Stegostoma tigrinum: one gene and its partner. The protein of the gene in region 2 purifies or fractionates together with the protein of the main gene of each other region. This does not show direct contact. Links are inferred from orthologs where the notes say so. Each region holds a gene or a part of one and is shown on either strand. Other genes may lie near its edges.

Region 1 (15,349 bases), on a different chromosome or scaffold from region 2:
CCTGATCTGCTGCAAATAACCCCTCATCATCTCTGAAAAATTAACCAGAATACACACAACCATGAATGATCAATTCTCAGAACACACATTAGAAGTTATATTCAACTGCCAAATCTCAATGTAAAGTACGTTAAGCATCTCACCATTGTTCAAGGCAAAACAGTTAAAATTCCTGAATCCTTCAAAAGTTAGAACCAAAGGACTCAATCCACACTCAATTCACAAAACATAAGGTTCATTTATACTTTGTGTGATTGGCGTGCCACAACTCACTGGACTACTAACACGTATCACATAATGGAGAGATTCATCCCCAATGACAGTGAGCTCCTCGCATCAATCACAATTACAGTGACAGAGAACAGAAAGGTCTGAGAGAAAACTTCCAACAGGAACATTTAGAAAGCCCGATTCCTACATTTCACTAGTCAATTTCAGAGCTTCTCTAGTAAAGTCCTAGAAGCAGAGAAAGGGTTTTTATTTCTGAGAAAGTGCACAACTCGAATTGACTAAGAGCATAAATCGAGAAATTAAAAAGGATTCCGAACGACACAGCTAAAATTTTAACTTCAATGGCTTAAGTATTTTTCAATCATAATGTGGAACTAAGCTTAAATCAACATAAAATTTACTTGTTACAGAGGCATGATGAGCATCCAGTAATTTTTTTTAAAACAAAAATGTATGTAGTTGAAAAAACTAATTATGTTTTTCTGTCCTTTAATCATAGATTATTTGATTTGAATGATGCTACTTCCTCATACCATCTTCCTGCTTGTGTCCAGGTTTTGCATACATGGCATTAAGAGGAAAGCCTGGCTCTCCAGGAATGGGAAAGTTAGTTATCCCCAAGGTATACATTTCCTTCTCTCCTTGATTTTTGGAATTGCACTGTGTAAAATAAAGAGAAAAACAAAATGAGAAGTTTGGTCACATACCAAGATAATCCTGAAGCGAGTATGAGATGAAATGCATACTATTTTGACAAAAAACTATTAGCTCACAATTCACCATGTCTGAAAAAGTGGGACAGCCTCACCATTAACGAGGGCTGCTTCTACTTTTCTTCCATATTTGTAAAAGCTTTTCATGCAAATGCTTAGTGTAGCAGAAACATTCTAACCACCATTCAATCTCACTGAACTAAATTTCCTGAATCCAGCTATAAAACAAAATCTTCAGATCACACATCTGCTGGGTGGAACTGGCTGGAGTAACACCATAAAAGCTAGTCTGCCTATCAACTTTAACAGCTGACAAAGCAAGTCAAGTGAAAGTTAGTGGCATTTTATAAAAACAGTACTTCTCTTACCTTTTGTAATCTTTTGAGGCACTCTGTAATATAGAGGGTGATATAAATCAAGGTTCTGTCAGCTTCATTCTACAAAGACGAACAGCTTGTTAGTTGAATATCTGACAAGCAGCCTTAAAACAGGAATCATTCAACCCCATGAGCTTGTTCCATTATTCAATTAGATCATGGTTTAACTCAGTCATTGATTCACAGCCCAGAAACAGACCCTTCAGTCCAACTAGTCTTTGCTGACCAAGTTGCCCCAACTAAACCACTCCCACTTTCCTGCATCTGGCCAATATCCCTCTAAACCTTTTCTAGACAGGTACCTGTCTAAGTGTTTAAAATGTTGTGACTGTACTTGCATCAACTACTTCCTCTCGACAGTTCATTCCACATATGAACCGGTGCATATGTGAACAAGTTGCCCATTAGGTCCCTTTTAAACCTTTCACCTTAAAAATTGCCCCCTATTTTTGAACTCCCCCACCCTAGGGAAAAGACTTTTGCTCTGCACCTTATTTATGCCCCTCATGGTTTTATAAATAGTTATCTATCTTGCTTCCACAACCCTTAATGTCTGCTCAGCAAGAAAAAAATCTATCCTTCACAAATTTGGTGGAGTAGTACAGAATTATAATGAACAATGATAATTTTTAAAATAACTCCCATTACAACATAAGCAAGTAGTACAAGTAAAAGTGTCAAGTATCCTTTCACTTGTTTATGCAAAGTGGATGTTACTGACTAGGCCAGCATTTATAAGACGCTGACGGGAGTTATGCATGGGCCCCCTAACAGTAATCAGAAAATAAAATCAGGAGAAAGAAAAGGCACTATTACAATAATCATGAGGGACTTCAATGTGCAGGCAAACTGGGAAAAATCAGCTTGGTAGTGTATCCCAAGAAAAAGAATTTGTGAAATGTCTACATGACGACTTTTTGGAGCAGCCTGAGGTAGAACCCACTAGGAAATGGGAAATTATGGATTTAGTGATGAGGCAGACTTGATTAGGGGGCTGAAGGTGAATAAACCTCTTGGGGGCAGTGACCACAACATGATAAAATTCACTCTGCAGTTTGCCAGGCAGAAGCTGGAATCAGATGTAATGGTATTAACAGTTGAGTAGAGCTAGCTAAAGACATGAGGGGAGCCTGGGAAAGATGGTGGAACAGCAAATGACAGATTCTGAAGATAATTCAGGAGGCACAGCTGAAATTCACCCCAAGGAAGAAGAAACATACTGAGGGGAAAACAAGGCAACCATGGCTGTCAAGGGATATCAAGATAACATAAAAGAAAACATACAATGTGGCGAAGATTAGTGGGAAGCCTTTAAATACCAGTGGAGGACAACTGAAAAGCAATAAGGGGGATTCGGGGATGATGAAATAACTGGCTAAGTAAGCTGGCTAATAATATGAAAGACAACTGTAATTTTTGTAGGATATCTAAGATAGCAAGAATGGACATTGGACCGCTGCACAATGAGACTAGAAACATAGTTATGAGGACCAAAAATGGCAGAGAAACTGAACAGGGACTTTGCATCATTTTTCACAGCGGAAGACACCAACAGTATACCAGAACTTTTAAGGTCAGTTAGGGGGCAGAGATAAGTGCAGTGGCCATTAGTAGGGAGAAGATGCTAGAAAAGATGAAAGGTCTGAAGGCAGATAAATCACCTAGACTGGAAGGACTATGCCCCAGGATTCTGAGGGCATTTCTGATGATCTTTCAGTAATCACTGGAGTCAAGGAGGGTCCTGGAGGACTGAAAAATTGCTAACATTGCAACTGTTTAAAAAGGTAGGGAGGCAGAAGACAAGAAATTATAGGCCAGTTAGCCGGAGGTCAGTCGTTGGTGAGATTTAAGAGTCCGTTATTCGGGATGTGATTGCAGAGAACTTGAAAGTGCATGGTACAATGTGGTTGAGTCAGCACAGCTCTGACATAAGATTGAGGATCTAACAAGCAAGTTAGACAAAGGAGAGCCAGTGGATGTAACCTATTTGGATTTCCAGAACACCTGTGACAAAGCACTGCACAGGAAGCTGCTAAATTAGTCAGTAGTGTTTGGGGCAAGGTGTTAACATTGGTGTGGATGACTGGCAGAAGGCAGTGAGTGGGGAGGAAAGGGTCTTTTTCAGAATGGCTGCTGGTATTAGTGGAGTTCCACAGGGCTCGGTGCTTGGACCACAACTAATTATGTTATGCATTAATGATCTGCATGAAGGAGCTGAGGGTATTGTTGCTGAATCTGCAGATGCCACTATGATAGGTGGAGGGACAGGCAGTGTTGAGGAAGTGGGGAGACTGCAGAAGGACTTGGACTGGCTAGGAGACTTGACAAAGAAATGGAAGATGAAATACAAAGTGTGAGGTTATGGACTTGGGTGAGAAGAATAGAAGCACAAGTCTACTTTCTAAATGGTGAACGTGCTTCAGAAATCTGATACACAAAAGGGACTTAGGAGTCCTAGTTCAGAATTTTCTGATGGTTAACCTTTGGCTCATTTGACAGTTAGGAAGACAAATGCAACGTGAGCATTCATTTCAACGGGACTGGAATGCAAGAGCAGAGATAGACTGAGGCTGTATAAGGCCCTGGGCAGACTACATTTGGAATATGGTGAGCAGTTTGGGCCCCATATCTGAGGAAGGATGTGCTAGCTTTAGAGGGGTCGAGAAGATATTTACAAGAATGATGCTGGAGCTCAAGAGCTTATCATGTGAAGAGTGGTTGATTACTCTGTACATAATCCTAACAGGTCTGTACTCAATGGAATTTAGAAGAATGAGGGGGAAATCTCATTGAAATTTGCAGAATACTGACAGATCTAGATACAGTGGACGTGGAAAAGATGTTTCCACTACTAGATGAGATTAAGACCCAACGGCACAGCCTCAGGGTGAATGGAAAACCTTTTAAAACTATGAAGAGATTTTTTTTCAGTCAGAGGGTGGTGAATCTGTGGAACTTATTGCTGCACAAGGCTATGCAGGTCAAGTCTTTGAGTGCCTTTAAGATTTAAATAGATAGGTTCTTTATTAGTAAAAAGAGGATCAAGGGTTACAGGCAGAAAGCAGGGGAATGGGGCAGAAAAGCACATCAGCCATGAACAAATGGCAGAGCAGACCCGATGGGCCAAATGGCCTAATTCTGCTTCCACTGCATATTGCCCATTCCTTATTGCCCTGGAGAGTGATCCCGAGTTACTTTCTTGAAAAACTGCAGCCTGCTGGTTGTAGGCACATCCATAGCACTGTACAGTTTTAATATGAATGCAAATCAAAACATCTGCTAGCCAAATGCCCAAGATGACATATCAGTATTTAAACAAGTGAATTTGATTTTTTGTAGTACTTAAGAATAATTAAGATAGACTTCCTATAAGGAATTACTTGCTTTGCCATATTATGGTTTAATATTTTATACTCAACAGGCTTTTTAATCTAATGTATCTTTATGAAAAAGTCTTTTTTTTGATTCTTACTGAGTAGAGAGAAAGTGGAGAGTCTGTTTTAGCTCTGTAGTGATGCAATTTACAGATCAATTAGTAAAACATCCACAAAAACAATCCACTGCAAGTCTCCTTTCGATCTTCTGGCTCATTAAGACAAATTAGGGTACTTGGACATTGGCTGATGTCAGAAACACTGTCTAAACATAATCACACTACTTTTGTGCCGAAGTGATTTCACTTTGTTATACTACACGACGCATTACTCCCTTGAATACACGACAAATTATTCATGTACTTTATTTAAAAAGAATCTTTACAATTGACAAATCAGAAAACAAACCTACCTTTATTTCATAGTTTTTGAAGAAAACATTTGCCTTAAAATAGTAGATTGCTTCATCAATGACATCAGTGTCTTTAGCTGGAAAAGATCATTATTGATAACCAAATCTTAAATCCTTAAGCATAACAAAAAATTAACAGTTTGAATTTGTTGTCCCCAGTTGGGAGATAGAGTCATAATTACAGAAGTCAATAACACAGAAAGCAGCCCTTGGGCCCACAGAGTCAAAAAGCACCACCACCTAAATATTCCAACCACATTTTCTTCACAGATACTGCCAGACCTGAACTTTTCCCGCAACTTCTGCTTTTGTTTGTGATTTACAGCATCCGCAGTTCTTTTAGTTTTTACCTTTTGGATCAAAATGTTTTTCTTCTCCTTTGCTCTAAACTTCCTGTCTCTTATGTCTAATCTACGGCCTCTTGTCATCGATTCCTCTCTCTCCTCCCCTCACCCCACACCACACCAAATGAGTTTACTCCTTGATTAAACTTCAAAGTTGACCCATTCAGGTAGTCATTTCAATCATCAATTAAGTCTTCTTTCTACAGGCAACTATGTTCCAATCAAAACAAAAAGCGTGTCCTCTTGGTTTTAACTAGAATGCAGTGTCTGGCCTCCTTGGCTGAAAACCCACAACTAATCTAATATGCACCTTGTTTCATTAACTGTTGCAAATTACATAATTTTAGCTTATATTACATTTGACTTAGAATGTAAAACAACATTTAGACTGTCACGCTGGCATGCTTTCTTTGGCCATCAGGTGGACGGTACAAAAAAGAAACAAGCTTCAGCAAATTTTTCACCTCCTTCCAACCCCATACATGACTAACCTTAGGAGAAACAAGGGCAGTGGATGTGTGGGAATATCCCCACCTGTAAGCTCCCCTCTAAAACACACAAGTTTCTCGTTGGAACTATATCAGAATTCTTTCATCGCTGCTGGTTCAAAATCCTGGAATTCCCTCCCTAACAGCATCATTGCTATATCAATATACCACGTATTGCAAACGTTCAGAAAGGCAGCACAGCAGCACCTTCTCAAGGGCACTTAGAAATCGGTAATAAGTGCTGGCCTAGCCATTGATACCCACATTCCATGAAAGTTTTTTTTAAGAAATCTTATCTTCCTATGACATTTAAAAAGTATAATTGCACTTTCCCTCGCTATTCTCTCAAGCTTTCTTCACCCAGCAGAAGGATTCAAAACGAGGAACCAGAGTTCTAAGGTAAGGAGCAGAAGTTTTAAAGGGGTTTGCAAAATTCCACCCAACCCCAAACTGGGTTCTGGATATTTCGTACTCACTGCCCAAAAAGGGTAGCAGAGGTAGGAACCCTCAACTCATTTACAAACTATTTAGACAAGCAGTTGAAATGCCATATAGCATGCAAGGCTACTGACCAAGTAATGGAACATTACAATAAATGATATTTGATGAAGGTCATGGACATGGTAGGCCTCGGAGCCTCTTTCCATGCTCTCAAACCTGAATGACAGTACAACCTACACCAACACGTCGACTAACAGCGCTCTTAAATACAGTTACCAGGCCAAAGAGTGACCAAAAGTAACATTATAAAAAGAAATACTACTTTTTGAAACTTCAGTATCTTTCCAGAGAACCTAGCTGATGTTTGCGGGTGCAAGTTGCATGCTGCATGTGTTGAACTAGAATTTTTGAATGCATTCAACAATTCAATTGGAGTATTTTTCAATACACTAGCCATGCACTACATGTGGCTAATCAGAAATCCAGCTGTGGAAAACTGCTTTTGACAAGGCAAATTTTAATCAATAGAGTAACACATGGTCAAACTGCCTCTGCATTTGGTACTTAAATCAAAACAAGAGCAGGAGTACATTTAGCCTTTACTCCCCTTGTTACCAAATGATAGTAGATATGATAAAATAAATATACCCATGCAAGGTACATTTCCCAAAGCAGTAATTTACATCACAACCACACTGCTGTATGGAAATGTGTCTATTTGTAAACTAAAAAGTGTGCTTTTTCCCTGGCACCAAGATTTTTTTTGAAAGAACTTTCTACAATTATTAACTGGTTTAAATTACAAAACTAACACTTAAACTGTTTCCCTATGCATAACTGTACAAACTGATGCAAGTGTTGTATAATTCAGTTTTCATAAAATCAATCTCAAAACTTACTTTCCTTAGGAGCTGGTCCTTTAAATTGTGTTTTAAGCGGCAATAATGCCATGTTTCCAATCAGTTTTACATCACTATCCATAAGGGTTGAATGATAAGCCTGAGAGAGAAAAAGTACAATTAGAAATGCTGTCCTTCCCTAGTATACCGACTCAACTGGCATATTTCTGTCAAATATATTCCTGATTTTAAGATTGTATTCGTAGGTGATTAAGATCAATACTACAGACCACAACTTCCAGTAAAACGGATGCAGGATGCTCCATGAAGGTTAGCATCAAATAACATCATTGAATTAAAGTAATTCACTTCATTAAGCTAAAGGTGACAAAATACACAGTTCTCTCAACCGTACATTTTTGGACCAAAGACACAAATATTTTTTCTTAATAATCTTGCTTAGGCCCAAACGGCCTACTTCCTGATTTTTCACATCCACTCTGATTTTTCAGTTAACTTCCATCAAATAACATGAGTTTAGGATGCTCCGATACAGGAAGGTGTTGGGGGATTAAATAAAAACCCTTCAAGAAACTTACCGGCATTTTACAACCTGCAACTGAACAAGCGCCCAGAATAAATTGGTTCTGCTTCGGTCACTCTCAGCTCTTCCGCCAGTCCCACCCTGTCGGTGACGAGCGCGGCGTCAGGCGGCGGTGCGGGAGTGAGCACGGCGAACGCTATTCCCACGTGACACGAGATAGAACCTGGCGAAGGATCCTCTGATGAAGGGTCTAGGCCCGAAAGTCAGCTTTTGTGCTCCTTAGATGCTGCTTGGCCTGTTGTGTTCATCCCGCCTCACGTTTTATTATCTTATGAAGGATCTGCACGTTTTACTGGAGGATTTTTTCCCCCCCGACCCTTCCCCATCCGGGGGGGGGGGGGGGGGGGTCAGTTCAGGACTGCAGTTCTCAATTTACTGATTCAACTTTCACTGGAGTATTGCAACTAATTCTGGGCCCCACACAGTAGGACCTATCAGAGGATACAGGAAGGATTCAGAAGACGAGTCACAGGCATGAAGGACTCTGGGATGTATGTGAGAAGTTGGAGAGTTGTTGTCCTTGACGAAGCATAGAGGTGATCAAGGTCAGAAATCTCATCACATCAAGTTATAGGCCAACAATTTGAAAACATAAGCTTTCAGAGTCGAAAACATGGTATAAAAACAATAAATGGTACTGTATTAAACACCAACAAGCCACGACCAGTTCTCACTGGTCTTACTATACACAGACAAAGAAGGACATGAATTCGACTAGGACAACACATCCATAATAGCACATGCCAAACAGAAACAAGCCATGGAATTTCTGGAGGCTTAGCATTCCAACCAGAACTCCATCAACAAACATGAACTGGACCTGATATACAAACTACTGAGAAACACAACGGAAGTGATGCCAACGGAAGCATATAAATAACACGCAGGACACAATACTGACACTTCATTGGAGGTACATTGATGTTACCTAGCAGGGTGACAAAACATCTGCAAACACACCAACTTAGTGAGCAAGTCTACAACCTCGTCTACAACCTCATCCACAAACCAAGCTACAAATCTTCTCAAAAACAAGTCTGTCCTTTTCTGTGAGATGACAAGGTGTAGAGCTGGATGAACACAGCAGACCAAGCAGCATCAGAGGAGCAGGAAGGCTGATGTTTCAGGCGTAGACCCTTTGTGAGGAAGGATCTAGGCCCTAAACGTCAGCCTTCATGCTTCTCTGATGCTGCTTGGCCTGCTGTGTTCATCCAGCTCTACACCTTGTTATCTCAGATTCTCCAGCATCTGCAGTTCCTACCATCTCTATTCTTTTTCCATCACTAACACAATAGAATTATGGTCACTGGCCCCAAACAGCCTCCCCCACTGACACATCAGTCACCTGCCTGGCCTTATTTCCCAAGAGTAGGTCAAGATTTGCACCTTCTCTGCTAGGTACATCCACATAATCAGAAAATTTTCTTGTATATGCTTAAATTCCTCTCCATCCAAGCCCTTAACATTATGGCAGTCCCTATCTCTGTTTGAAAAGAGAAAATCCTCTACCATAACCACCCTTCAACTAAAATGAAAGTTCTCCTAAATAAAAGAAATTCAAGGGCAGCATGGTGGCTCACAGCATCAGAGACCCAGGTTCAATTCTAGCATTGGGCAACATTCTGTACAAACTCCACACATTCTCCATCTGTGTGCATAGGTTTCCTCCCACAGTTCAAAGATGTGCAGGTTAGGTGGATTAGCCATGGGAAATACAGGGTTAGTCTGGATGGGATGCTCTTTGGAGAGTCAGTGTGGACTTGTTGGGCTGCATGGCCTGTTTGTACACTGTAGAGATTCAATTAATTTATACACCTTTAGTCAATCTGCAAATTCCAACCTTATCAGAATATATTAGTCTAATTAATGATATCTCCAGTCCTAGGTACATGTTTTCATTCACCCAGACAGGGATTGCTTCATGTTATGCTAGCCTGATACTGTTGACCTCAACCCTTCTCTATTTATTCTAACCCCCATCCCAGAAGGTGAGGGTTGTTCCTCCAGGTCGTGTTGAGCTTCGCTGGAGGACTGCAGCAGGTCTGAAACAGAAATGTTGGCATGGGAACACAGTGGCACGTTGAAGTGTCAAATCACTGGAAGGTTGGAGTCATTTTTGTATACAGAATTTCATAAAGCAGTCACCCAGTCTGTTTTGTCTACACAATATAGAGGATTGTGAACAGCCAATACAGTGACTACATTGAATGAAGTGCAGGTAAGTCACCGCTTCACTTGGAAGATGTGTCTGAGGCTTTGCAGTGAGGAGGTAAACAGTCAAGTGTTGTACCTTGTTTGAACGGGTGCCATGGAGTTGTTTTGGGAGTCAAGCAGGGCATTCTGGAGGAAACGATGCCTACAAAATGCTGACAAAGAAGGGGAGGGAAATACAAGTCTGGTGGTGGCATCCCACTGGAGGTGCCGTATATGGCAGTATATGATCCTTTGGATGCAGACTAGTAGGGTGGAAAAGTGAGGATGGAGGAGTGCTGGCAAATGGACTGGATATCCCTATTAATAAGTCACTTAAGACTTACTAATTGCTTGTTGCACTTGCGTTGTAAGACAAATAATGTGTGGACCTTAAGTGGAGACTATTTGATTACAGGAGTAAAGTCACAGTTGTATAAAACCTTTAACTCCTCAAATGGAATATCGTGTACAGATTTGGTCTCATTACCTGCCATACAAGGAGTGAATGAAAGATTCACCAAATAAATCCCCAGGATAATGGAACTGCCTTATAAAGTTAAGATTGTGGGTCTCTATTCCCTAAAGTTTCAAAGATTGAGGAGTGACCTCATTTGAAACTTACAAAATTCTTACAGCGTGTGATCAGGTGGATGTGGAGGCTTAGGCTGGGAGCACCATATTAGTTTAAAGAGGTATGCCACTTAAGACCAAGATGAGATGAATTTCACGATGAGGGTGATGAGAATCTTTGGAATGCTGTGTCCCAGAGTGCAGTGTGTGTTCAAATGAGAAATCAATTTGGAGACTAAATTTCACAAGGGATATAGAGATAGTACAGGAACATGACAGAGGGATGGGTAATCACCCAGTCAAAATAATGGGATGGCAGAGAAGGCTTAACAACACACCTGTTCCTATGTTTGCCTGCCTGACACGTGGTAAGCTGATAGGCCTTTCCCAGCAGAAGCAGGATGGGATCCTTAACTGGGCATTAAAGGACTACAATTGGCCCACCATGGTGCAAGTCAGCAGATTGTCTCCCCACCACTAGTAAAATTATAATGATGACAAGTGAGTCGGCAACAACTATGACACCTATTGGACTTTGTGTTCTCATGCCTTCAAATCCACTAACTGTGTTACATCCAGTGCACAGATCATGTCTTGAATTATATACAGATGAAATGCCATCTGAATAAATTGAATCAACACTTAACTTTTATGGTCTCTCCAGGGAACTGTTCCCTAGACAAGCCACTGACCGACATTATTCTTGCGGATTCATTTTGCATTTACCATTCCACCGTTTAAACAAAGCATGTTCTCTAGTTCTGTATCAACAGCTTGATTTGAAATTAAAACATCATAACTGACATCACCACTGACACATACTGCTTTAAAAGTGAAAATTAAAAAAAACAGCAGTGCAATGGGTCACTGAAATAATGCGATAATGTGACCATTCTTGGTAAAAAGGCTGCAAAGATACTAAGTATGTTATAAGGTTAATCCCTCTGTTAACCCTATGATAGTCCCTATAATGTTAATCAATGGCATTACAATACTAAATCATTCCTTTCACAAATCCACTTTGATAATCTTTAGTGATTTTATTTCTATCCAAGTGGTCCATATTCTCTCTTTAGGGAGGCTTTGTATAATTTTATACTCGTGACAAATTCACAACTTACCTTCATGCAGTCACAAACAACTTGCCACTACACAATGATTTCTGGAAGATTTATGCCAGAATTTCTGTAATTTTCTCTTTAATTCTTTAAAAGATTTTCAAATGCATTTTACCCAACTCAAGTTCAAGTTTCCACACCTATTAGACAACCATGCTAGTAGTAATATGAATGGTGATGAGAAACATTGTCTCTTTCCTTACCCACTTCACTTTCCAGATAATTTTAGTTTTATTTAAACCTCAAAAAGGAGACAGCCAAGGCAAATAACATATTTAGCATCTTTGCAGCCTTTGTATCAAGAGTTGTCACATTATCACATTATTTCAGTGACCCATTGCACTGCTGTTTTTGATTTCCACTTTTAAAACAGGATGTGTCAGTGGTGATATCAGCAACTCAGCCTCCCAAAATACAGGCTTATGGCTATGAATCCAGGATACTACCCAAAAACAGTGAACAAAAACAAAATTGCCAGAAAAGCTCATCAGGTATGAAAGCATCTGTGAGGAAAAAGAGAGTGTTAAAACTCCAAATTAATATTTACTTTGAATTTTAAATTTGCTTTGAGAGCCAATGTTAACAGGCATATATTTTCCCCTAAATTCAGCCATTAATCTTCCCATTTTGAATATCTTCAAAAATGGAGACGATTTTAATAAACATTGTAAACATAATCTTTACTTCTGAATAAGATTTCATAGTACTTTTGTTGAATGTGTTTTAGAAACATCATTTAATAACTTTTGAATCCAACACTTCCTTCTTTCTGTACAATTTTTCTTAATTTCTGCAAAACTGGATATTTTGAGTTAAGCTGTCCTCTGGATTGTAAATTGCTATTGTGCAATAATAAAGTTCATCCAGGATGTTAAACAAAGTTATGAGATGCATCCAGTATATTCACATTATTTTGAGCCATTAGCCAGGAGACAATTGTATTTTCTATTCTGCTGAAAGCATGTGGAGTTTGCTTTAAGAGAAGCATGGAAGGAGAGGGGAAGGGAGGGGGAAGAAGGAAGAGGTAAAGCGGTAATGATGAGAATGTCTCCTGTTAACATTCAACTGTCAGTCAACTTCTTCCTTTCCCTGGGCGACGACAATAGATTTTGAGTAAGCACAGACACTGGATAGTGGAATAGGATGTACTGATAGTTAGTGTAGTTTAGCTGGATGTAAGGGATTTTGATTTCTGGCTTTTTCTTTTAACTCCTTTGAAGAAAATGTTGAAAACCATGCTCCTTTGGTTCATTAATCATATTTTGCCTACCTATTTTGCATGTTAAACAATACTTTCCACTGTATCTCAGCACATGACGATAATAAATCAAATCAAGACGCATGTCAAAGAATTCATGAAATTACAGTTCCCTAATCCTTTGAAAATATTGGTTTATACAGTTTAAAAAAAACACTCCAGAACTACAACTACCCAAACAAAACTCTGATTCAACTGTTTATGGATTCTTAAAGGTGGCAGTTGGCTTTAATAACCATGATCTTTCACACTGCTGTAGTTAATAAGTTCTTCAAACTATGTTCATTGCCATGAAGCGGAAATGCCAGTATTGGACTGGGTCAGAAGTCTCATGACACCAGGTTATAGTCCAACATGTTGATTTGAAACCACCAACTTTTGGAGCACTTTTAAAAAACAAAATAGCTGGTGATTTCAAATAAACATGTTCGACTATAACCTGCTGTCATGTGACATCTGACAATGTTTATCACAGGAGCCACCAAATTTAAACTTTAATCACGTTGTTGACATCATTACTTTCATTTATTCCTCTGTATAATCATTTCTTACATAAAACACTCGGACACACAAAGCAGAAGACTAACCATGCTTTCTTCTCATGGCACTTCAAAGCCATCCTGTTTATATTAAAAAGTCTTGCTCTAAGATAAAAGGAAGTTTGCTCATTAATCCTTAGCTCTTCAGGGCATCCAACAGCATCTTATTACATTCAGTTTCAGACTCTGAATTGCATCAAATTGAGGTCTTGCAGGTTTAGCTTCATTCCAAATTATAGTTAGTTGATGATTAATGTAATTTTTTTTAATATAAAAGATTGTAAATACTTGAACAAATGGCACGTGTGTGCAGTATGTGTACTAAGTCAGAAACCTAATATTAGATTTTCAAATCAACAGGGTTTGAGATAGAAAGATTTGCATTTTGATTGTTAAAAAAAATTGAAAAGGACTCCCTCTTTCTACCTTATTCACCTTTCCCATTTATTTCCCAGATCATTTCTCAGCTCACTGTTCAAGAAAGCACTTACAATTCATGGAACTTGCATCAACCCAGGAGACTCACCTGTGTAAAATGGAAAAAAAAAGCTTTCTGCAATCCAGCCAAGGTTGAGACACATAACCTCAGATGCCCATCCATCAGGCTGGAACACAAGACTATGCAGAGTAATTACATTTTTTTTGTTTTTTTTAAATTTAACCCATTGTTCTAGTCAACCTGTTCAGATGTTAATACACAAGTCAGGAGCAAAATCCATACCTCTCAAATAAGGGTAGGCACACTATTGCTGCACCACCGTGGGGGGCTCATTATATGAACATCGCAAAATTTCTTATTGTAAAATTTGTTTCAGGTATAACAAAATAATAAATTTATTCTACATTTTTACACTTGAAACAAACTAATACTTCCTTTTAGACGACTGTCAAAAGGCTAGTGCTAGGTGGTGGTGATGCTATGTTTGAAACCTGTTGCATGAACTGAGGCATCAAATTAAGCTTTTATTTTCACACAGTACAAGTTAAAAATTATTTGCAAATTAAACTGTGTGAAGCTATGAAAGTGGGACTAGGCTAATCAACACTTGTAGCCCCTTTCAATATTCAAATCAGTCACTGCTAATCTCTACCATAAATACACTTAGTCAAAAGTGATACACATATCCTTTGATAGCCTGTTTAAAGCCTGGGGTTAGACTAATTTTTAAGTTTGACTTAACTTTCTACAAATGTAGTCACAATCTTCACACAGTTGGATTTATTTTTGGCTTAGTTCACTTCTTAAGCTCTTGCTTGAGAAGCTTAATAGGTATTTGTATGCAACTTACGGAATAAAATCACATTACGTTGGTCTCTATTAAATGTGTAACAAATGCCAGGTGGTTGTCAGGTTGGGGGAATAGTTTCAGGTGTAAATATTTTGGAAAATGCTTTCATAAATTTTCCAAAGAGATGACCACTTCAGGGTATTTGTTCAACTTCTTGATGACATGGATGGCAACTTCCTCTTGAAATAGCACAAACATGGAGACCATATCTTAGCTACCTTCAACTCTCTGGATCATCATGGATTAAAGCCAGAACATTTTGCATGACAACAGCAGCCTCAAGTCTACTCCAGCTGCAAGTCCTTGATTTTGTGGTAGGCACAGGATTTTGTGGCACAGCTGTATTCTGCAGCAAACATCACCATGAAGACAGAATGAAGGAAGCTCAAATCCATTAAACAAACTGACTTGAATTATATCTGGCACAAAAGAAAGACTGTTATGGCTGCTGAAAGTCCATCTTTTCAGCCGCATATTATAGGAGGTCCCCACAGAAGTATCCTCGACCTGAAAATTCTTGACTGCTTCACAACCAGCTTTTCCTCCATCATAAAGTTAC
Region 2 (15,862 bases):
ATTTGACACTCTATGAGCTGGAATTCTCCAGAAACCTGAATTTCTGATATTCCTCAAATGTGAACTGTTACTTGACCAATCAGAAACTGTTCAGAAGTTATCCAGAATGCAAATATTTCCCAGGTTACCTCAGTAAGATTACACAAGCTTCTAGCAGAGGAGGTCTGTCTTGTTTGTAAACAGAACAATAACTTTTCATTTTTCTAATGCATGAATTATAGACTCCATCCTCCTATTATGCAATCCAATAATTTGGAAAGCCAAAGTGAGAAGCAGAAAAAAGTTGTATTAACATGAAAGCTGAGAATTAACATCTGTAGATGCATCGAAAAGGGCAAGAATGAGAAAGTTTTGACGGAAGAAAATAATGTCAGCTTGTTGATGATATACAATATCAGGGATCAAAAAGAACCATTATAGAAGATGTTTTGATAGTTCTGAATCAATAAAGCTATTCAAGGACACTGTGCCTGTATCAGAGTAGTTGATGCTAACCTGTATGAATGGATTTCATTGAAAAGTGCAGAGGGTGCCCCTAATTCCAGCTCCATGCTCAGAAGAGGCAAAAACAAATGATGACGCAATGAAATTGAATGAACTAAGTGCATTAAATGTATCTGGTGAACAAAATTCAGCTCAACATGAATTTGCAGAAAAATACCATGAATATTTTAAGATTAATTTCTGAACATACTCTGTTGATCAAATTTGTAATGCAGATGAAACTGGCTTATGTTGGAGATGTTTGCTTAATTCCACACAGGCAGGCACGAGTGAACCTGGTTCTACTGGTTTTGAACAGAACAAAGAGAGAGCTACAGTTCTCATTTCTGCAAATGCTGAAGCTAGAATAAAGTAAAGCTTTTAGTAGTTGGAAAATTTAAGTTTCCCATATTAATTAAAGGCTTTGCACAGTTACCTGTAATTAATCATGTGCAGAGTAATGCATGCATGGATAAGTACATTTTTAAAAGAATCACTTCACCATGTCTTCGCGCCACAGACCATTTTCTTTAAAATGGGCAAAGCGAAAGATGTGAAGATTGTCTATTGCTAGACAACAGTTGAACTCACAGTCATGAATCTGAATTGATGAATAGTAACATTTTTACCAGTTCTGCGTCTCCCAGCATATTAAATCAAACTATTCAAACAATGGATAAGGGTGTCATCCAATACATGAAACATTACTACAGAAGACATTTCATGGCCACATTAATCAATCAAGAAGGCACTATAGGGAACCTTCAAAGATAATGGGCACTGCAAATGCTGGAGAAGCCAAGATGACAAAGTGTGGAGCTGGATGAACACAGCAGGCCAAGCAGCATCATAGGAGCACAAAAGCTGATGTTTCAGGCCTAGGCCCAACGTCAGCTTTTGTGCTCTTAAGATGCTGCTTGGCCTGCTGTGTTCATCCAGTTCCACACTTTGTTATAGGGAACCTTCAATCTGTTTGTAGCATAAAAGAAAACAGACAGAATCTACTGGGGTCTGAGTGATGGAGACTATGGTGAGATGTGAGGCAGAATTGGACGAGAAGTTCAGCAAGGCCAGTCTCAACCCTGGAAGCATGTCACACAATAATTTACGTTTCTCACCATTAGTATGGCAATGTTTCTCACTAGGCATTGGTGAGTTCCTCATTAAGGGGGATTATCATTGTTAAATGCCTTGTTCACAGCACAATTTGCTTCATTAATATTCTGACTAATGCAAAGCATAGATATAATGCTGCCCATGTCTCAACAAGGGCTGTGGTGGAAGAACATATTGGATTGCTGAAGATGCAGTTCTGTTATTTAAACAGTCTGGGAGGGCATTCCAGTATAGTTGGACAGATTGTGCTGCAAAATCCTAAAGGGCTATGCGCTGTATAATTGGTACAAGCATCCAGGCAATGCACTGAATGCTGAGGATCCAGGATCATAGAAGCAGTCTTCCAAGGAGGACAAAGACATTGCAGAGGAGGAACTTGTCCTAGTCCATTACAGAGCTCAACTGCGTCCAGCACTATGAGCCAGACCAACCTTCATTGACCACAGTTCCAGTCAAAGACAGCTGGGTGCAGCTGACAATTGTGGACTGCACAACATCTGACGCTCATGATACCAAAATGTATTTTGAACTGTGGGAGAGAATGCCAGCGTCCCTGGTTTTTGTTTGCTTTTGCTTTCACTTTCTGTAAATAAAAGCTCATGTCTGCATTTGTCCAACTGCTTCCAAGTGTATGTTACTCCCCGCCTGGACAATCACAAGCTGCAAATCTAAAGTGAGCATTGGGAGAAGGGTGCACAGACTTAGAGGATATTCTGACAAGTATAACTATGGACAATTAAAGTGTGTGATGTCATGGTTAAAATGCAACTGGGGTGAGAAAATGAGGTTTCAGGTGGAAGGTAGTGCCAGCCATACTGGCCATGTGCTGTGAGCAGCATGGCTGTGCAGCTGCTGTACCATTACATTGCCAGTCTGTGGCAACACTAAATTGTTAATGTTTGTTTGGGTGAGAAATCGCCTGTCAAAGATGGTGCAGCCACAAAGGATGTCAGTCTTTCGGCCTAACGTATATATAATACCTGCTGAGTGATGAATTGGTTCTGGGAACAACCATGATAGGATGGGGCTGGAATTGGAGTTGAGTGACACGATAGGGGCAGTATAGGTAGTTAATCGGTGTGCACTGCAAAGTATGGTGAGACAGCATGCTATGCCTCATAGTGAAAAATCTTCTAAAAATTCTACGCAATTTGTACTTAGCCGAAAAAAAATATAAAATTCAGCTGCAATTTTCAACATGGCATGTGCTTCGAAATCAGTGAAAAATACAGTACTAAGGACAGCTTGAAAACAATTGTTACCCAGTGCTGTATTTGTGGAAGGCTCTTCTCATAAAGAAAATTTGTTGTATTTAATGTAAGACTTAGAACAAATTACATTATCCAAAATTACCGAAATGGTTATTGATATTCCTTTTACACAAGCAATCAGCAAATATCACAAAAGTGAGGCAGATTGGGTTAAAGCCGTCAAGAAGGCTGACAAGACACATATTGTTAATGATATGAAAATAATTGAGTATGTTGTGAATACTTGAAAACCAAAAGAGATTGAAGATTTCATTGAAGAGGTGAAAATTACTTAGCTAATGCTACTTTAGCTTTTGATACATTGATTACATTTGCTGAAAGGTAGACTTATTCTGCATAAGTGGTTATGCAGTTGCTCATTCTGCACTCTACTTTTATGTAGAAAAAGGCAGAAGGCAAATTGGCAACCCGACATTTGGGATTATAAGCAATAAATCATCCAGGGCTTGTAGTAGGCCCCTTTCTCTTACACCTTCTCATCTTAATCGACAGTTGTAGAAGATGCTGAAGATTAATTCTGCTTGGATACCTATAAACAGTACTTTAATACTTTACATTTTAATATGCAGTTGAAGATTAGAAGTAAAATGAACTCTGTTCTTTACTTCATGCATATTATCTGATACTTTAGGCTTGGAAAGTTTATGACGCAAGTATTATTCTGTATTCCTTCTATAAACGTAACTCTCAATTAGCATTTTAATTAATCAGAACCACCCATGTTGGAGAATGAAGATTTTACTCTACACAAGAAAAAGGTAACAATTACCAGAAGAATGGATTACATAAATAATATCAAGTGACCAGGAAAGAATTAGAAGCACTTACGTTGTTTCAAACACAAAACCATAATCAACAAGCGTTGCAACCTCTAACTGTCATTTTTTCCCACACTATTTTAAAATTTTCTGAAATAATTTTCTTCCTTGTTTTTATTTGTGAAATTCAGTAAACATTTTGCAGAAAAGGTAACTTTTTTTTCGTTCAGGAATTGAATTCAGATAATGAATCCGAAACTAACAAATGTGGCTGCAATTTTCTAAAATTGAACAGAATGGGTGATACTTAGTATTTGTTGTGGTGCTGTATGGTGATGCAGTAAATCAATTTAATAAATATAAATCAAAAATCACAATTTCATCTTTATATAAAACTTTTGCTTAATCTGCATTTAGAAGGTTTTGTCCAAATTTTCCCCTCACACAGTGATGCACAGACCCTGAAATAAATTGAGAATAATTAATTTTTTTGATAATTACTATAAAAGGCTTTTATATAGTGACAGCAGATTTAGAGAGCTGAGGAAATATACTCTTGAAAAAAGATGAGGGTTATTGGAATTTTGATGTAATTAAATTGAGGTCTTAAGGATAAATTGTATGACTTAGCTTGTTTGGGGGAGAATCAAGAAACATAAGTAAACTGTTGAATTAACTCACCTACAGAAATGCTTGCATTTATATAGTGCCTTTCATGATAAACAGACATTTTAAGCACTTTTCATCCAATGAGGCACTTCCAAAGTATAGACACCATTGTAACTTGGGAAATCTCAGTTGGCCCTAATTAGAAATTGGGTAGGATCATAATCCTACTATACATAAACAGCAAAACAAAAGGAAAGATAAAGTTTGATGTTGATTCTGACCAAGATACTGAGGATAATTTTGATTAGATTAGATTAGATTCCCTACAGTGTGGAAACAGGCCCTTCGGCCCAACAAGTCCACACCGCCCCTTGAAACATCCCACCCAGACCCAGACCCAGACCCATCCGCCTATAACCCCTGCTCCCCTGAACACTACGGGCAATTTAGCATGGCCAATCCACCTAGCGTGCACATCTTTGGACTGTGGGAGGAAACCGGAGTACCCGGAGGAAACCCATGCAGATACGGGGAGAACGTGCAAACTCCCCTGCTTTTCTTTGAAATAGTGCGATGGAATCTTCTTTAAGTCCAATGAGAGAGAAGATAGTGGTTAGAGAAAGTGGGTGGATGAGTGAAAACAATGTGGTATGTGTTTTCCAGTCAAGATAGTCTTCTTAAATGAAACAGAAATTGTTGAACAAGCTCAGCAGGTCCGGCAGCATCTGTGGAGAGAAAGCAGGGTTAATATTTTGGATCCAGTGACCTGCTTCAGAACTAGACCTGCTGAGTTTTTCCAGAAATATCTTTTTTTTCTGATTTCCAGCACCCACAGTTCCTTGAAATTTTGTATAGTCTTCCAAAACTTGTTTGAATAAATCCGGGATCAGAGAGAAATTTACCAGAGATTTTCTAAGGGTGACCAACAATCTGACAGGTCCTGTATTGAATACTCTCCTTTCATACCTGTCACAATCTTGATATCAGCACAAAGGTCCCAGACTGTTGGAAGGGGTTTACAGGCTGTTAAAACAAAAATGGGGCTGTACTTGTACACATCAGAGGTGAATCGTTGGGCCTTGCCAAAGTGGAAATAGAGTAGACATGGCCCTAAAATACTAACTTTATGAATGCTAATCTCACACTGAGCATGTTCACCAGGATGGGAGAATGATGATCCTACCCAATTTCCAATTAGGGCCAATTAACATACTTGGAAATCTTTTAATAAGAGCATGTGCTGTTTGGGGCAGGCTAGGCAAAATTAAATGGACACAAGTTTGAGAATCCAATTGTGGCTGCCCATAAATTACACTGGCACAATAAACATTTCAATGGTGCAGAGCAGGCTTGGGCCACTGGGAGTCAGGTGCCCAATAACAGTGCAGGTGGCAGAGAGTGGGCAGTCAGCAATTGGACAATGAAGAGGGTCATCACTCTCCTGACATTTGGGCATTTGGGTAGGGAGTGTGTTGAGTGGTTGAAAAACAGCAGGGCACAAAGCAACCGTAGACAATCAGCATTCAGCTAAACACAAGAAAAGCAGCAACTGCCAATAGGGGCATGGGACTTGAAATTTGGATGGCCAGGCTGTGAAGTGCAAAGCTTCCACAAGATGGGCAGAGACCTTGGCATCTAGAGGGCAAAGGACAGATACAAGGTTTAAGAATTGTAAAGATGCCATGCCTTCCATATAGATCTACCACCAAAAAAAGAGGTTGCCTGACCCCAGTGCAACAAGAGATCCTAACTCTCCTGGCAGTTGGTCACAAACATTCATTCCCTCATCATCAAACATCTTGAATCTCACAACACTGGTCACCATACCCTTTAAAAGTCACTCTAGGTTTTGAACTTCTTCACCTCTGGCTGTTTCCAAGGATCTGCTGCAGACATCAGTGCCATCTCAAGTGGCGATACATCGCTGCATCAGAAGATCACTGATGTCCTTTTTCTGAGAGTGAGTGCAGGGATTTCATGACAGTTGCAGCCTAGCACCAACACAGAGTACAGACCCACTATTGCTCACTTCCTCCCAGGTGAAGAACATCACTAACTGCTTTCATGTGAACTACTTCCATTGATGTGATTCCTTCTTACAATGCAGGTTGCTAGAAATCTTCATTCCAACCCCAAAGTCCATTGAAGGAATGGCTACTCATCCCTCTAAGAGACCCTCAGATAAAGATTCTGAGGTGGTTAAATCAAAGCCATTTGCACCTAAGAACAAGAACTGAGCAGGTCATTAAGCTCCTAAAAGTCGCATTGAGTGCCTGGACCAATTGGTGGTATTTTGATATACGCTCCTGCTGGGGTTTCTCTCATACAGTCATAGAACTGTACAGCACGGAAACAGACCCTTCGGTCCAACTCATCCATACCAACCAGATATCCTAAATTAATCTAGACTCATTTTCCAGCATTTAGCCTTTCTGCCTCGAAACCCTTCTTATTCATGTACGCATGCTGATGCCTTTTAAATTTTGTAATTGCACCCACCATCACTTCTACAACTTATTCCATATATGCACGACCCTCTTCTTGAATAAGTTGCCCCTTAGGTCCCTTTTAAATCTTTCCTCACTCACTTTAAACCTATACCCTATAGTTTTGGACTCCTCTACCCTGGGAAAAAGACCTTGGCTATTCAACCTATCGATGCCCCTCATGATGTTAAAGACTTCTATAACGTTACCCCCCAGCCTCTGATGCTCCAGGTAAAACTGCCCCAGCCTATTCAGACTCTCCCTATAACTCAAACCCTTCAATCCTGGCAACATCCTTGGAAATCCTTTCTGAACTCTTTCAAGTTTCACAACATTGTTCCTGTAGCCAGGAGACCAGAATTGAATGCAGTATTCCAAAAAGGTAGATTGTCAAACAAAGCAAAAAATATGAGTGGTAAACATGCTGTTGGGTGTAGAAGAGAGGCCCCAAAACAGCCATGGAAAGATACAGAATCAAATACGCAATCAAATTTTAGAGAAGTATGAGAATTATAAAGCAGTAATAGTCGAGGATTTTAATTACCCAGATATTAACTGGGATAGTCTTAGGGCTGAACCTATTTTTTTGGCTGATGTGTAATGGTATGTTGCACTCTTCATGATGTGGCTGTCCAGAGCACAGTAGGCGTTGAGGGCAACGAGATCCTGGAAATAAGTTGGCGGATGGAGAGGAACAGGAGATTGAACAGAAGGAGCAAGTGGAGGCAGAGTGAGAAGATGTAAAACTCCTGGCTTTGAAAATCTAGACCCCTGGCAGGGTCTCTCAGTTCCACGATCAATCAATGAGCACTCACAATTGGTCTGGCTGTTTAAGGCTTTACTCTTTATTTCTTCATATGGCTGGGTACAGAGCATCCGGAAACACAGAAGTTGAGTACTTCCATATTTGTCAGAGGAGCTGTACACACAACTTAATACAAAGACATTTTTATACTTTTCTCAAAGCAGGGTACAAGGCATGATCGCATTGTACATTCAAACAATTACCTATCAATACATGATATTGCTTCATTGGCATTTACTTGGTCCAATTATATTAACTGGTAAACAACTTAGTCACAATGCTTAGGTCACTTTTGTCCCCCGACACAGTCCCTCCACACCTGCACCCGAAGGTCAGTCAGAGCGGTTAGTACTTCCTTATCTTATCACGTTACTTCTGTATTCTAAAGGGCGTATTGTCTGCTAATCTTCCTTTGCTACAGTCTGGGGGTTAGTTATTCATGCAACTCTAGCTGAATTAATAATTAGCAGTCTAGAAACCATTATGCAGCTCTAGCAGAATTAGCAGTTGGCAGCCTAAAAGCCATTTTGTTGTGCTAACTTGTATCGAGAAACCATCTTAATGCCATTTAAGTTACCAAGAACATTTGTCAGGCAGTTGCTCCTAGCTGCAACTAGTCACATAAGTGCAGGTCCTGAGCCTCCATATCCTAGCCAAGCCTGTATTCCAGTTTTAGACTCTCAGCTTCATAAAGAGGTGGCCAGGCATGGGCAGGATGCAAATGTCTTTTTAGGAAGCCATGTATGTGATAGATCATTTCATTAAGGGACTTTGAAACAAGTCCCTCTCTCCCAGAATGATAGGCAAGGGACCCAAGTCACTTCAAGTTATTGCATGAACACACCCATTTAATCACATCCATGAATACTCACTGTATTATGAATGATGTACAGGTATCCAGAGAGTTTGCCCTCTTCATGGTTTCTTCATCACCTCACTACACTTTTTTCACCATGTTGCCAATAAAAGGAATCTCAAATGTATACCTTCAAGTTTATAAAGTGATAAGAAAGGGAAACAATGCACACAGATGGTAAGACAACACCTAGTGTTGTAATCAGTACTTTCTGTAATGCAATGGTTTTCACACTTGGCTAATCCTAGTCAAGGTTCTCTTGTAGCCTCAGAAGAAATGACAGCAGTTGACGTGTGACTGAGATGCATATATGGCAATCATCAGCATCATAGACGTGCCCCTAGGGGCATCCATGGAGGCTGCTTCAACTGCTTTATTTCAGGTGTCAGCTGTCCAACTTGGCCCTTACACTGTCTGAAGAGCTGAGGAGGCCAGGGATCATTAAGACATCTGTGAAGGGTGGCACATGCTTCTCTATGACACCCTCAATCTGGAGGAGAACATCAACAGCAGCATAAAAGGCATTTGCTCCAGATACCTCGATCCTTTGATTACATTTATCGTATGCAATGCCAGCACTTTGCTCCTGCATCCACTCTCAATATGACTCACAAAGGAGGAGCATAGCTCTGAGCTATCGTGGGTCATGTGAGCGGCATGAGCTCCTTTATTCTCAGCCAATGGCCCTGCACCATCTCGGGAAATTCTCATATATGGGAGCACATCTCATCCCTCAATTACAAGCAGAACCTCCTCTCTAGTGACATGCAAGGTTCTGCATCTCTACCAGGCTAAATATGTATTTGTGTCTGTCCTCCCTCCTTGCAAGGAAATTCCCCATAGCTGCCAAGGACACTTTTCCTAAACACGTACTGTTTTTTAAAGATGTGTCAGGATCCACCAAGATGGGAGCATCTTTGCCAGTGTACGGTGTGCTTTTCAAGTGCTTCCTCAGTTTCATGAATTCCCACGTAAGCTATGAAGGGAGTTGGAGAGTGTCAGTGAGTGAACAGCTACAACTTTTAAAGACACAAGAGCAGATCGTAAGAACCAGCCTCCCAGCGCAAAAGTCACGCAGCTCTGAGATTTCAGTATACACCTCCTGTTCGCCATATTGCTGAGCAGGATGGTGCCATCTACTGAACATTGTCATACCCTATTGTCACCATCTGCATCAGTGGTTTCCAAGTTACCATAGTTGGAGGAAAGAATCAGACACAATACGTTCTGCCAAGTAAGGTCAGTCGATGGAATTTTGAGACTCAAAGGAATGGACAGTCCCAGTGTACATAATTCTGAACCAATGACCTCGCATACAAGGTCCCTCTCGCAGAATGGACAACAGATGAAGAGAAACAATGCCTTAAGATTTGATTTTACTTTTTTTACAGTAAACATCGAAACGTGTTAAAATTTTAAAACTCAAAAACAAAGTAGTATCGCTTACAAGGTGAAACTACCATTGTCTTGGTTGGATCTGATCTGTGATGGTTGGCTTAGTATTTATCTGCCCTCCTCACACCCATAGCTATGATCCTGGAGAGAGGAATGTGGGATGTTTGCACCTCAGGGGCGCGCGGCCATCGTTGGTACAGATGACAAGATTATTTAATTCGCCAACATTTCTTTGCCTCACGATATGTTTCCACTCTGTGCCCTACAAAAAATGGGCTTTGTTTGTTTGTTAAGGGATAACGGACAAGCTCGTGCGACCTGTTTAATAACTAAACGACATTGAACAGGTGAGCCAGCCGGGAGCGCGCCGCCGATCGAAGGGTCCTCTCCACGTGCACGCAGGCTCCGTAAGGTATGCGTGCGCGCAGCCGGAGTCCGCGTTGGTGCGTGCGCGCGGCTGCCGTTCCCGGATCCCGACAGTCCCGTCTCCGCCTGGTGACCGAATTCGTGTCGACTGCCCAGAGTCCGCGAATTCAAGCCCGACACCGACAGCCCGCGCCAGGTAACGGCTGGGAAGGGGACTCGGGGGCCGGGGATCCGACAGCAAGGAAGCCGGGCCCCAATTGAGTGAAGACGCCGTTGAGGCCTAGGCCGGGAACGACCCGGCAAACCGACAGAGCCGGCGGAAGGAATGAAGGAGGGAGGGCCGAATGGTCGGTGAGCGGAGCGGCTGGCCTCGGTCTGTCGGTCACATACCGTGGGAAGCCTGACTGAAAAATGACCGCCGAGACCCAGGAAGCTGTTCTGTGACCTATTGACCGGCCCCTTTTTCCTCCTGTTCCCCTCCTGCGACCTGCCCCTGACGGGGGTTCAGGCCCGGTATGGGAGTACGTCCGAACGAGGGGAGGATGAGCCTTGTTTTGGGGCTCGGGCTAGCAATATCAGTGAGGGCATACAACAAAAGTGAACATGACCCAATAACCGGGACAATTCACTACTGAGAGTTACTACAGCGCCAGATGGTCAGAAATACACATTTTCCACTGGAGTTTATTAAAGTGGGTTGACTATGACGGCCTAGACTGAAACTCGGGTGTTTAACAATGCTGTTGTATACTGGAATTATTGAAGCAGGGCCAGTATTAAAACAGATGCGGAGACATTGTTGTTTTTGTGTTGATTTTCATTTCTTCCCCCTTAAAACAATAATTACTTTGGGGTGGGACCAAGTTGACTCGTAGATGCCAGGGTTTTAATTTGAAATGAGAGAAAGCATGAAATTTTAGCAATTTAAAGCATGTTACCTGATACATCCAGTTTTTGTATACCTGACATGATTAAGCCAGATTGTTGATAGTCCTCAGTGCTAACATACTTTGTGAGCAAGGACAGGGTTCTGTAGTATTTTCTTTTGACTGGCCAATGCAAGTAAAGTTTCAGAAGCGTTTTTTATGAAATCTTTTAATAATCTATGAATGTTTGCCTTGTTAGGTTAACTCACAGTCTGTAGGTGCCTTTTTGCCTCAAGGTGCACAGGCATGTGAAATCTTTACCCAACTACATCCTTCCAGATTTAGGCTTTGCCAAGAATGAGAACATTGAGCCTCTTGGTGCAAGTGTGAAACAAGTCTGTGTTATCCAGTCCTTGTGAAAGGAACACATTGACTTTATGACTTTAGATTATTTTGTTAGAAATGTAAGTTCTTATTCTCCCTGTAATATGTTTGTACCAGTCAGCTTAAATGGCCATACTTTCATGGGGTTTTTATTGTCAAGTGTAAAATATTGTGAGATGCAACTAATAATTTAAGTAATGTTGGCCACTTGCAGGATCTTAAATGTAGTATGGTTTAGGTACTGGGAAGAGCTTGTACTTGTGTAGCACCTTTCACATCTTTTGGATACTGTGGTAATTCACAATTATCTTGAATGGTAGGAAATTTACTACAGGCAAGTGTGACAGCTAACTTGTGCATATTCAAAGAAGTATTAGTGTGGAAAGAGCCATTCAGCCCATTATGTCTGCACTGAATCTTTGAGTAAGCATCATTACAAACTGTCGATTTTGTGCCTTTTCTCAAGACTCATTATTTTTATTCGAGTAATCATCTATTATCAGGATAACAAAGTGTGGAGCTGGATGAACATACGGTCAAGCAGCATCTTAGGAGCACAAAAGTTGACGTTTCGGGCCTAGACCATTCATCAGAAAGGAAGGGTCTAGGCCTGAAACGTCAGCTTTTGTGCTCCTAAGATACTGCTTGGCCTGCTGTGTTCATTCAGTCCCGCACTCTGTTATCTTGGATTCTCCAGCGTCTGCAGTTCCCATTATCTCTAAACATCTATTATCTTCTTGTTTGCCTCTGTTGAACCTGCTTCCACCACTTCCGGGCATGCATTCTGTACCCTGCAAGAAAAAGATTTTCTTGTCACATTTGTTCCTTTTTAAAATCGCTTGAAATCTGTGGCCTCTAGTTGGTATTTTAATAAGAAAAAGCAGTTTCTCTCTATCTGTTCTATCAAACAGCTCAATTTTGAAAACCTTTGTCAGATCTCTTAGTCTTTGAGGAAAACTGTCCCAGAAACCATTTTCATAAACTGCTTCAGTCTCTGATGTGCTCATATCCTTCCTATAGTATGTTGTCCAGATCTGTAACAGCACTCCATTTGAGATCTAATTAGTTTGTTGCATTTCTCCTCACAGTATAAAGTCCTTCCAAGTTTTGTGTCCTCTGCAAACTTTAAAATTGTCACCTGCACCCCAAGATCTAGATCATCAATACACATCAGGAGAAGTAAGAATCTCTGGGGAACTCCGCTACAAACCTTCCTCCTTTTGAAAAATATCCATTAACTTTACTGTTTCCTAACTCAGCCAATTTTGTAGCCATGTTGCGAGTGTCCCTTTTATTCCATGATCTATAATTTTTCTCAAGTCTGTTGTGTGGCACTGTTAAGTACCTTCTGGAAGTCCACGTACACTGCAACAGCATTACCCTCATCCAGCCTTTCTGTTACCTCTTCAAAAAAAATTCAATTTCCATGAGATTGGGGGAGCGCCGGAAAAGAATTCCATTCCATTCCAGTCGTGCTCTGCCTAATGGCAGGTCCTTGGCTCATTGCTGTTGCTTTGTGAGCCAGTCTGTTTTTTGGCGCTTTCTGTCATTGGTGGTTTGCCATTGGCTTCCACTCTAAGGGACATATTGCATTAGGTCATTAGTCAACTTCAGTTGTAATGAAAATTGAAGCTGCACGGTATTCTGAACAACATGTTGGCCCTCTAGCCAATGAAAGCAACTGACCCCACTAATAAGCAGCAGTTAGATAAATTACCTGTTCTAATACTGTTGGTTGAGGGTTGAATGTTGGTTGAGGCACTGAGAACTATCCCTTTTCTTCCTTGAGATAGACAGGGCCTTGGATTGTGTCTCATCTGAAAGATGACACTGAAATATGCGAAACTTACTCATCAATTCTGTTCAGCTTCCGGGCTTGAATCCATGACATCTGTATAGAAAGCCTACCTCTAAACTTAATTGACAGATTTTTAAGCCAGTGTTTTTTATGCTCTAAATTCAGAAAACTTTGCAATTATTTAGCTAAAATACAACGGTACATAATTTAATCAGCTTTTAATAATCTTTACACTGTATAAAAGTGAATGAAGGAGCTGCTGTCATGTTCTTCCTCCAGAAAGTTCTGATGTTTTCTGACAATTAACTTCAACTCTAAATTTATGCTTTGAAATGCCAATTATTACAGAGCGTTGCACTTTTCATTGGTTTAGAATGGATATTTGTTTTCTGAATTTAAAATTGTATTGTACTAACCTTTGGTATCCAGTTATGGGACTTGAGTCATTCGGTTGAAGTCTGAATAGGGTGGGGAAACAATAAGATAAGAGAGAAGGAATGTAAAGTGTTCTTGTCAAACAATCACGGCAAAAAAGAGTTGATTGTGACCAAAGACTTACTTACAAAGACTTAGCAAAAACAAACCTTGCTCATTTAATTGTCTCATGTTTTGAACATATTCAGTGGCAGTTTGCTGTTATTTTCATGTTTTGCTGTAGGAATTACGAAAAATCCAAGTTGTGCTGCTTGGTTTAAGCAACTTCTATGCATATTATGTGTATTTACACAGCTGGGTCATTGAATTAACATGATAGTTCAGTGCAAGAGGGAGTGTTATGGAAATGCAATGTTAAAGGAACAGTTCTTTTGTTAATCTAGGCTTATTAGATACTGTGGACATGGTTATTGTATATTAGTTATGTTTTATTGATTACAGATGGTAGGTATTAGTTGCAGATTCATGAGAGGGGGGTCAGTCAGCCTAACTACCTGCCTGTCTACTGTGGCTACGTGCAGGCCTAGATGTCCACTAGTATGCTTCAGGCATTCTTTGACTAGGGGGCATGCTCACACCTGGGTTCTTTGTTTTAAATACTTTATTTACTACAATACATTAGTGGCATCCCTTTCAGAAGAGGTAAATGGTTGAATCCAACTGAAACTGTAGTTTTGAGGTTTGTTTTATTCACCAACAGGTTAGGAGATATATACTTGTAATGTTAAATGCTTTAAAGTGCTTAATAACAGGCACTGGTTTTATCTTTTACAAACTGCCTTTCTAGGATGTAATGTGGTAGCAGGGAACTGTTACATTAAGCTAGAACTTGAAAAGAATTTCAGTTAGAAAACTACAATCTTAATCACCATTTTACAAAATGGCTGAAAAGTTCAACTGTCAAGGCATGATTACTCTCTGGTACTTGTACAGCATTAATTTCCAAATATCCAGTTATCCCTCATGGCAGCTTTTTTTCTAATGCCTCCAGTGTTACTGAATTTTCAGATTACTTGTCCAACATTCAGCACTGGATGCGCAGAAACTTCCTCAATCAAATATTGGGAAAATTGAAGCTGTTTTGATCCCTATTCCAAACTTTGTTTCGGACTGCCACTTCCGTCCCTCTCCCTAAGATTAAAGCTGTCTGTTCTCAACCTTGATGTCCCATCTGACTGAGATGAGCTTCCTAGTTCATTTGTACCATCACTATGACTACCTTTCTCCATCTCTGTAACATCATTTGACTTTGTCCCTATCTAAATAGATTTACTTCTGAAATCCTTGATTATGCTTTGTTGCCCCCAGACTTGATTATCCCAGTGCACACCTGGCTAATCATCTCCATTCTATTCCCTATAAACTTTGTCATTTAAACTCTGCCAACTGTGATTACTCTAAGTCTCTTTCATATATCACCTATATGCTCATTGACCTACCTTGATCAAGCATTGTCTTGATTTTAAAATTCTCATCCATGTTTTTGAACTTTTCCATGGCCTGTCCTGTTCAATCTCTGTAAAATTAATGGATCTTCAGGCTGCTCGGTCAGGCAATTGTATTCCTTCAGCAAAACATGATGTTTCATCTTGGAATATTAGGCAAGTAGTAATGGAATCAAAAAGTGATAATCAGAGAAAGGATAATTATCTTAAAGATCCAGAGGCAACTTTCTCATCCTAATTCTCGAAAGTTAAAAATCCAGTTAAAAGGTGGAGGCGTGGCACAAGAAGATTAATGTGATCCAAGAATATAAGGCTAACAATGATTAGTGAGAGATGTTACATCTGTAAAAGGTTATTGAGGAACGTGCCATGACAGAATGTAAGCCTTCCACTAGCATGTGACTTTAGTAGGTAATTGCCGTAGAACTAAAAGTGTGACAAAGAAATAATTGGAGCCTACATTTTGTAAACCTGACAACCTGGTTTTATCTTAATACAATAATTCTTGGTAAAGACAAAAGGGTTATTATGGACAAAATCATGCATATATGGAAAGGGGCCAGATATGGGTCATCAGCAAAGTTTCTGACAAACAATTGAAAGGAGTTACCAATAACAAGTTCCAAGATGTGAAAGTAAAAATATCATGGTCATGAATATTGTAGTTGAAAATTCTTTCGGCAATAGACTGTGACAGAAATCATGTAGTGAGCTGTGAAATGTTGCATAAAATGCTAGTTGATCAGCCAGACATCAAGGTGACAATCTCCCTAGAATGGGCACTTCATT

Evidence for each region.
Region 1: the proteins of actin-related protein 2/3 complex subunit 1A-B (region 2) and arpc3 purify together in Homo sapiens (affinity purification with mass spectrometry; 8 studies listed by BioGRID and IntAct, counting the BioPlex papers as one, with this or other methods). This does not show direct contact. The link is inferred for Stegostoma tigrinum from reciprocal best matches to the Homo sapiens genes ARPC1A and ARPC3.

What each region holds. Positions count from the first base shown.
Region 1 is NC_081379.1:24,232,398-24,247,746, reverse strand, and holds the start of arpc3 (actin-related protein 2/3 complex subunit 3), read right to left. Parts: upstream 7,954-15,349; 5' UTR 7,825-7,953; coding exon 7,819-7,824; intron 7,380-7,818; coding exon 7,280-7,379; intron 5,185-7,279; coding exon 5,108-5,184; intron 1,382-5,107; coding exon 1,313-1,381; intron 892-1,312; coding exon 765-891; intron 33-764; coding exon 1-32. UniProt on the Homo sapiens protein: Component of the Arp2/3 complex, a multiprotein complex that mediates actin polymerization upon stimulation by nucleation-promoting factor (NPF).
Region 2 is NC_081376.1:12,146,230-12,162,091, forward strand, and holds the start of actin-related protein 2/3 complex subunit 1A-B, read left to right. Parts: upstream 1-10,207; 5' UTR 10,208-10,341; intron 10,342-15,862. UniProt on the Homo sapiens protein: Probably functions as a component of the Arp2/3 complex which is involved in regulation of actin polymerization and together with an activating nucleation-promoting factor (NPF) mediates the formation of branched actin networks.